Linked DNA regions of Bombyx mori. The protein of the gene in region 1 interacts with the protein of each later gene in a pairwise test. Links are inferred from orthologs where the notes say so. Each region holds a gene or a part of one and is shown on either strand. Other genes may lie near its edges. The genes, in order: protocadherin-like wing polarity protein stan and frizzled-7-B.

Evidence for each region.
Region 2: the proteins of protocadherin-like wing polarity protein stan (region 1) and frizzled-7-B interact in binary tests that used the Drosophila melanogaster proteins (3 or more experiments, as listed by UniProt). The link is inferred for Bombyx mori from reciprocal best matches to the Drosophila melanogaster genes stan and fz.

Annotation. Positions count from the first base shown.
Region 1 is NC_085128.1:4,497,728-4,501,559, forward strand, and holds part of protocadherin-like wing polarity protein stan, read right to left. Parts: intron 3,537-3,832; coding exon 3,423-3,536; intron 2,264-3,422; coding exon 2,092-2,263; intron 1,815-2,091; coding exon 1,675-1,814; intron 1,170-1,674; coding exon 983-1,169; intron 563-982; coding exon 470-562; intron 304-469; coding exon 194-303; intron 1-193. UniProt on the Drosophila melanogaster protein: Involved in the fz signaling pathway that controls wing tissue polarity. Also mediates homophilic cell adhesion. May play a role in initiating prehair morphogenesis. May play a critical role in tissue polarity and in formation of normal dendrite fields.
Region 2 is NC_085110.1:8,283,726-8,288,048, forward strand, and holds the start of frizzled-7-B, read right to left. Parts: upstream 2,833-4,323; 5' UTR 2,519-2,832; coding exon 1,339-2,518; intron 767-1,338; coding exon 249-766; 3' UTR 1-248. UniProt on the Drosophila melanogaster protein: Receptor for Wnt proteins.

The DNA.
Region 1 (3,832 bases):
AACTTGGTACAGTTTTTTTCACACTTCAAGGAACATTTTCGCGCACCTTAAACGCACGATAGGTGGCGCAAAAAATGGTGTATTACATGCATTTACACGTAGACAAATTTTTTCACTAGTCATTAATACAATAGCTTCAATTGGCGAAAGTTTCTTGGGGAGTACTACTGAATTGTGCGAATGGAATACCGACCTGTTTCCTTAGCTGATAAAAAGTGGCCGTTGTACAGTTGAACATGTCCGGGTCCTGCCAGGGGACGTCTTTCGTTTCGTCGCACGTTCTGGTCGCGCGGCCGCTCGAACCTGGACAGTACGTGCACGCGTTACGTCACCAGTGCATTGCGAGGATCGCACGCATTACGTCATCAGTGCGTCGCGAGGATCGCACGCGTTACGTCATCAGTGCGTCGCGAGGATCGCACGCGTTACGTCACGGGGGACCGGCGACGGTCCCGGACGCGGCTCTCACCCGGGGGACAGTCGGTGATGGTCTCGACGCCGAACTTGGTGCGCGGCCACCAGACACCGCCCGCGAAAGAGCGCGGACATCCGTCGTACACCACTGTAACACAAGTGTTTCTAATATAATATCGCGGTGTGAAAGGCTATTTATTGGATAATTATATTTTTTGTTGCTTAGATGGGTGGACGAGCTCACAGCCCACCTGGTGTTAAGTGGTTAATGGAGCTCATAGACATCTACAACGTAAATGCGCCACCCCTCTTGAGATATAAGTTCTAAGATCTCAGTATAGTTACAACGGCTGCCCCAACCTTCAAACCGAAACGCATTACTGCTTCACGACAGAAATAGGCAGGGCGGTGGTACCTACCCTGGTAGACTCACAAATCAATAAAAATTGGAGTAAATCAATATATATTAAGTGTAATATAAGAAATGTTTGACAGTACTCGTATAGTCATTCATTCATTCATTCATTCATTCAGTCATTCACTCCTAGGGTATGGTCGATACAGTCACCTTCACATCCAGAGTTGGGCGTGACTTCGGCGTAGGCGTTGGCGCAGGCGTCGCAGGCGCGGCCGATGACGCCGGGCCGGCAGTGGCACTGGCCGGTCGCCGCCTCGCACGAGCTGTTCTCCGACCCCGCCGCGTAGCACTGGCACGGGAGACACTCCGCCGTGCCTTCAGGCTTGTAGTGGTTTTCCTGGAGATGACAATCATTATTGGTTAATTGGTGATAAAAACGCGAGAGATTGTTGTCTGATAATTAAAATATTATGATAATATTTTCGAACGGGAGATTAAGTCATCATCAAACATCACCCTGTATATTGAGGCCGTGAGATTGTATGTTAATAATAAAATAAAAACTTAAGAGTAAAAAGCCCTCGAGCCATCGATTATATTCCTAGCCCGAGCTTATTGTGCGCATTAAATTTACCATATTTCATCGATGAATGACAGAATGAATAGGAAAGTCAGTCAAAAATAGTCCAATCATTGTTCAAAAATGTTAAGTTTTATCTGTTTGTAATAAAAAAAATATGTAAAAATGTAAAATAAAAAATATATTTACACATTCGTAAATAGTTATACCAAGTAAAGATAGTAGAATGTTTGTAAACGAAACGAGAAAACCTTTTTTTTTCTACCATAATGGTTTTGAAAATCAATATATTATAATAAAAAACCAAGTACGTCTTGCGTACTTTGCAATGGCATTTTCCGTTCTCCTTGTTGCAGTGTGGATGATAGCCACGTGTGACGTCACAAGCGCACGGCCCACACGCGCTTCCACCCCACCATCCTCCTGGACATTCTTCTTTCCCTGATTCTATGCAGCCTGACGCTGAAATAATTTTACTTAGTAAATATGTAGTTCGAATTAAAAAGAAAACATATCAATTAATATTCATATTGCAATTTATATAGTACACACTAAATTTCATTTGCAACACGAACATTGATATATCATAGTTTTCAAAAACGCTTTACATGGTGTACTAAGAGAAAAAGTTAACAACTTCTTAATGATTAGGTTATCTTTTACATTTGCATTTTACATTGCCTGCTCTTTATTGTTAATCTTTAAATACGAATCGAAATGATCACAAAGAAGGACTCACTGGTAAGAGTATATCCAGGCTCGCAAGCGCAGGAGTAGCCCTTGGGCGTTTGGTCGGGCACGCACCGCGCGGCGCCGCACGGGCCGAGCTCGCATGCCGACACGCACTGCGGGCCCACGCGACCCGCCTCGCACGTACACGTGCTGCTGTCCCATGACGTCACACACTTACTCTGGACACAAAACGCATTCAGATTATAATCTGAGTTTTTTGGCGGGAACGCGAGGAGTGAAGTTGTGTGATTTGTTTTATTTTGTCTACTTAGTGTTTTTTCAGGTTTGAATGTGTAATAACGGTGGTTTATTAACTGTTTAATATCTGTGAAAGTGCACAAATGTGGGAAAATGAAACAAAGCCGCTGGACGTCACTTCTCGGGATCCTCCAAAAAGTCCACTGAAAAAATCTCAGTAAATGCCCACCATTTTTTTGAGATTATATTTCATCCCATAACATCTCATCTCATTACATTTAATTTCATCCCAGTTGATTAATGTCTCAAATTAATCATCTTCATTTCATTTCACTTCATACTATCATTTTTCATAAAAATATGAATATAAATTCAAATAAGACATGACTTAAAGGTCTTAGTTACTAGGTTATAAAATCCCAAAAATAATTATAAACTGTACACTTCAGTGCATGCGAAAATTTGTAAGGCTCACTTGGTGTTAAGTTATACGAGCCAATACACATCAGAACGTGAATGCCGTTACGAAGTTTCTGACATGATGATGGTTTCCGTAGTTGCTAACTGTATTACATAACATATACCACGTCTTTTAAGCACACGATTTATTCGGGGTGGAAATGAGCAGCTTGGTTTTGTTGATTCGTGAAAACTCAGAGAAGGCCCTACTTGGGGTAATCACGTCATAAATAATAAATAAATATTTACTAACAAGCTCGCCACGTTAACTGGTCCCGTGCTAAGTTCGTAAAGAACTTGTGTTACAGGTAACAAATAACGGAAATAAATGTAAGATTTTTATTATACACATACATTTTTTTTTTTATTTATTGCCTTTGTAGGCAGACAAGCATACGGCCCACCTGATGGTGAGTGGTTACCGTCGCCCATGGACTTCAGCAATGCCAGGGGCAGAGCTAAGCGGCTGCCTACCGTATGGATGTATATAATATACATCCATAACCCTGGAAAATACATTTTATATTTATCATACAAATATCTTCCTTTGGCGGGATTCGAACCCGCGACCCCCTTGTGTGGTGACCATGTCACTTACCACTACACCAGACGGCCGTAGGCGTTACGATGAACCTAGCACAATAGTGTATTTGACAATGTAAATTTAAATTTTAAACTCACATAAGGAGGACATATTGACAGCATGCAATCGGCTCTAGATTGGCAGCCGTCCCTCACGTTTTCTCTGACCGTTGGCCGATTGAGAAGCGACTGAGCAGTTCCAATACGAACATCCTAAAATAAAATTAGCATATTTATAATGAAAAAAAAACACACTATGTATATGGTGCAATAAGAAAAAGCGTCCCAGCTCGAAGAGTCTTTACTTGTATTCCAATTTGTGATTGTCGTCAAAATAACATTTTTTTTTTGTGTCATTTTAGTCTACGAGTGGTTGTCGTGGCTCATGGACATCAGCAATTATACGGGCACAACTAAGTCGCTGCCTACCGTTGAGTACACATCGCAAGCTTCGTTTGAAGAAAGACTGGTCATAGCGCGAAAAACCGTGGAGGAGAGTTCATTACAGA
Region 2 (4,323 bases), on another chromosome or scaffold:
AGTCCATGTAATCTATAAAGTAAAGCAGCTACAGTAGAAGGTGACTAAGAAATATTGTTTTATATGACTTTCCAAAATTTATGGCAGTCTTGTTTGATGTATATTACTGTTTAATAAAATAGAGGATTGTCATACATTCATGTAGTAACTAAAAATAATTATACAAAAACAAATAAATCTAAATATAATATATAATGAAAACATTCATTAACTTTTGTTTGCAGTTGCAGTTTCTGCATTTAAAATAATTACACATAGGCTTCTACTCTGCGACCTTTAACTTTGTCAAAAAATTGAGACCATGATATCAAAGTTTTACCAGACCATATCCAAAAGCTAGATGTTATACCAACAATCATTGTCATTAGATATTTAATCATAAACATTTCAAACTTTGGTCCTTCTATCTCTTCATGAATTATCGGACAAGGAATTGAGTATTGTCGTATCGAACACATGTCTCGTTGCCATGCAATCATCCATTTGTCAAAATTAACTTGTTCATAGAACAAACATGCTATGACTATGAGGGCAGGCACGGTGTATAGTACACCAAACACACCAATGCGAATCATCAGTTTCTCTAATTTATCAGTTTTAGTCCCATCATGTTTCATGACAGTTCTGATCCGAAACAGTGAGACAAAGCCAGCTAGAAGAAAGATTGTTCCAAACACTAAATAGACACATAAAGGTGCCAACACAAATCCTCTTAAAGCTTCTGCATCCCATAATCCAACGTAACATACACCTGACAGTACATCACCTGAAATTAATAGTTGGAATGATTTTACTTTCTACTACTAAAATAATAATAAATTGTGCAATTACTGGTGGTAGGGTGTTGAGGATGGTAGAGCCTATACAAAATTGGGTGCCACCACCGTGCTTACTTCTGCCTTAAAAAGGTAATGTTTTTTGGTTTGAAGGGTGAGACTGTCATTCTAGTATAAAACGGGACTTAGACCCCATAGCTCAATGTAGGTGATGGCTTTTACATTGTTGACGTCAATGGGATTGAGTAACCACATTAGGTCAGTAACCATATGAGCTCACCCACCCATCTAAGCAATAAAATGAAAAATACTGCACCACTTGTTCTACAAGTAGTGTAAGCTTGGACAGATTAATAACATTGTCTTGCCTAGTTCAATCAAGAATCAGTCACATATTCCAGTTTGCCATTAATTTGATATAAATGAAACTGACCTCATGTCTAAACTGTCATGAAATCAATTCAGTAATTATTTAAAACCAGTTGTACATACAATTCTTTATCCAAGTTGTTATGCTAATAAAAAAATTAGAACACATGGAAATGAGAAAAAAATCACTAACCATCTACTTTCCCCATTGCTAGAATAGATATTGTCTTCACAGCTGGTACTGCCCAAGCAGCAAGATGAAAATATTGGGAATTTGCTTCTATTGCTTCATGTCCCCATTTTAGGCCAGCAGCCAAAAACCATGTCAGGGTTAATATGACCCACCATATACTCGAAGCCATACTAAAGAAATATACTATCATAAACAGTATTGTGCATGGCTCATGTTTTGTACCTTGTGTGATAACTGATATGTTGGGTAATCTTGTTCCACTGACAGCAGAAACAAAAGGCCCTTGGCAGCTTATATTATCACCTGCACTCCAACCCATTATGTAGGCAATAGCTACCATTAGATAACAAACTGACAAAAATATTATGGGTCTTTCTGGATACCTGAATCTATCTGTATCTATTAAAAATGTTAGCACAGTAAAAAGGCAACTGAGTGCACACAGGACTGCCCAGATTCCAATCCAGAGCCTTGAAAAATTCTTTTCATCTTTACTGAAGAACATTCCATTGCATGGGGCTCCACAGTCATGTTCAACTCTATTTCCAACTTTAAAAGAGTATTCAAGATCTAAATGTCTTGGTACTTTAAACTGCACTGGGCACACAAACTCATGCAATCTAGTCGGATCTCTCTCCATGTTAGATTTGAAGTCAACCTTACGAAACTTGGTATCAGTGCGTTTTCGAGATTCATGGGCAGTATTATTGTCACCAACACATATGTTATTATCAGATACTTCAGGAAATTCAGAACATTCAAGCTCAGGGGGCCAAGGAAAATCAAATTTTCGTATGACGACATCACAGCTTTGTTTTGCAGCTTCACATAAATGACGACAAGGCGGTATCGCAGAATCTAGTATCGTGCAAACGGGTGCATAAACTGAACACAAGAAGAATCTTAGATCAGGAGAGCAATTCAGTTTAATGAGAGTTGTAAACAGAAGCATGTTTGCGGCTGCATCTTCTTGTCGTGCTTGATTTAAAATATTCGGAAAAATGGTTTGATTATAACGCAATTTCTGACAAAACTGAATGGTAATGGGTTCACAACGTCCATGTTGAGGTAGACTATCGCCTTGATAAACAATCTCTCGAGAACCTTTTGTTAACGCAAAAAGACATAACAGACTGAATATAATAACATAATGTTTCCAAAATTTTGCCATATTGATCATGTAGAGTTTACCACATAAATGTTATTCATCACAAAACATTTCGTACAGTGTCATTTTATTAAAATTGTGGTATTTTGACCCACGTTACATGTAAATATTTATCTCTTTAAAATGTCTCTTATTTGATATTAGCATATTATGACAGACTTTAATTAGTACATAATATCTATAGCTGATTTAAGTATTGGTTTCTGAAAACTTAAGTTTTTTTGTTAGAAATTACGAGAAATTCACAAAATAGTTACGGTACGAAGAGAATATGTACCAAGTAACCAAAGCAAAAATACATTTTTTTAAGGGATTTTATGACCTGGTAACTAAGACCTTTAGGTCATGTCGTCTTTTAATTTATATTCTTATTTAAAAAAAAAAAGATAACATGGAGTGAAATGAAATTAAATAAAGATGATTAACTTGAGATATTAATCAACTGGAATGAAATTAAATGAATGAGTTTAGTAAAAACTTTTTTTATTAATTGTTATTTCAATGAAGTTGTGTTTATATTTTGTCATGATCTTGTACAGCCGGTAATATATTTGAATAATAAATAAAACACGTAAACATGTTTAAAATTGTGGTTCGGAGTGTCAATAGATCTGCAATAGATGTAAATATACACATTACATAAGTACACATACACATAAATATACACATTTAAAACATAAAATATTTAATCCTAATCTCAGTTAAAAATTACAATCCCCGAAATATAACTGTACAGGCAGTGCGATTCTACTTTTCAAAGTTGAGCCATTAATTGCCCTGATAGATAGCATTATTATAAATTAATTAAGCATTACTGACCATTTGTTAATGAAAAGTCAAAATATGAATTTGCAGATTAACAAAGCAGTCACTTCGATTAAATATAAAGTGTATAATAGGGATGTAAACCAGTTCGAAGAAAACCGGAGAAAAACCGGTTTTTATACATACCGATAAACACCGGTTTTTATTTAAGAATACCGGTTTTTAATTACGCGTTACATTCACAGTTCACATCAGTGCTACCAGATCAAATATACAAGCTACCTAAAAAAACCGTGTTTCAGACTCAAATTACCGTGCATTACATTTAAAAACTACAGTGCAATAACCACAATATGGTTGGTAGACTTTTAGCGTACGAAATGGGGACCGTGACCCAAATATCCACATATCTGCACCCAACACTCAGAAATGGCTTTCGTCAACCAGAGCACATGTTGTCTGCAAAAGAGATGGTGCGTCGTGAACTGGGGAATCTTCCTAAATAATTTTCAACTCTAGCTTTATCATCGGAACAGCCAGAAGAAACCACAAACAATTTTAAAAAGCCTGGTATTTTGGATTTTTTGCATTCGCGAAAACGGGATATTCCGAACGCCACGGCGGCCGCAGTGTATATAATACGATTCTATATTGAGACTGAAGCCGCCACAGGAAACCATACCGAAATTGCTGGCACTTTTTGGATGAGCAATACTCATTTAAGGCCTTTAAACAAAATAGCATTTAAATACCTATCAGTCCCATCAACTTCTGTGCCTTCCGAACGTATGTTTTCGACGTCGGGGTACGTGCTAACATCCAAAAGAAGCAGGCTTCTGGATGACACAGTGGACCAAATATGCTTCTTGCAACAAATTTCATAAAAAAAATATTTAAAAATTAAAAAGCTTTTTATCTTTATTGGATAATATAAATATGATCATTAAAAGCCTATATAAAATATGCTCACCCAATTAATTGTAAGAAGAAAACTCTTCGTTTGCACGTAAATTTGTTTTATTTAGTGATTATTCAGCCTTTATGGAAAAAAC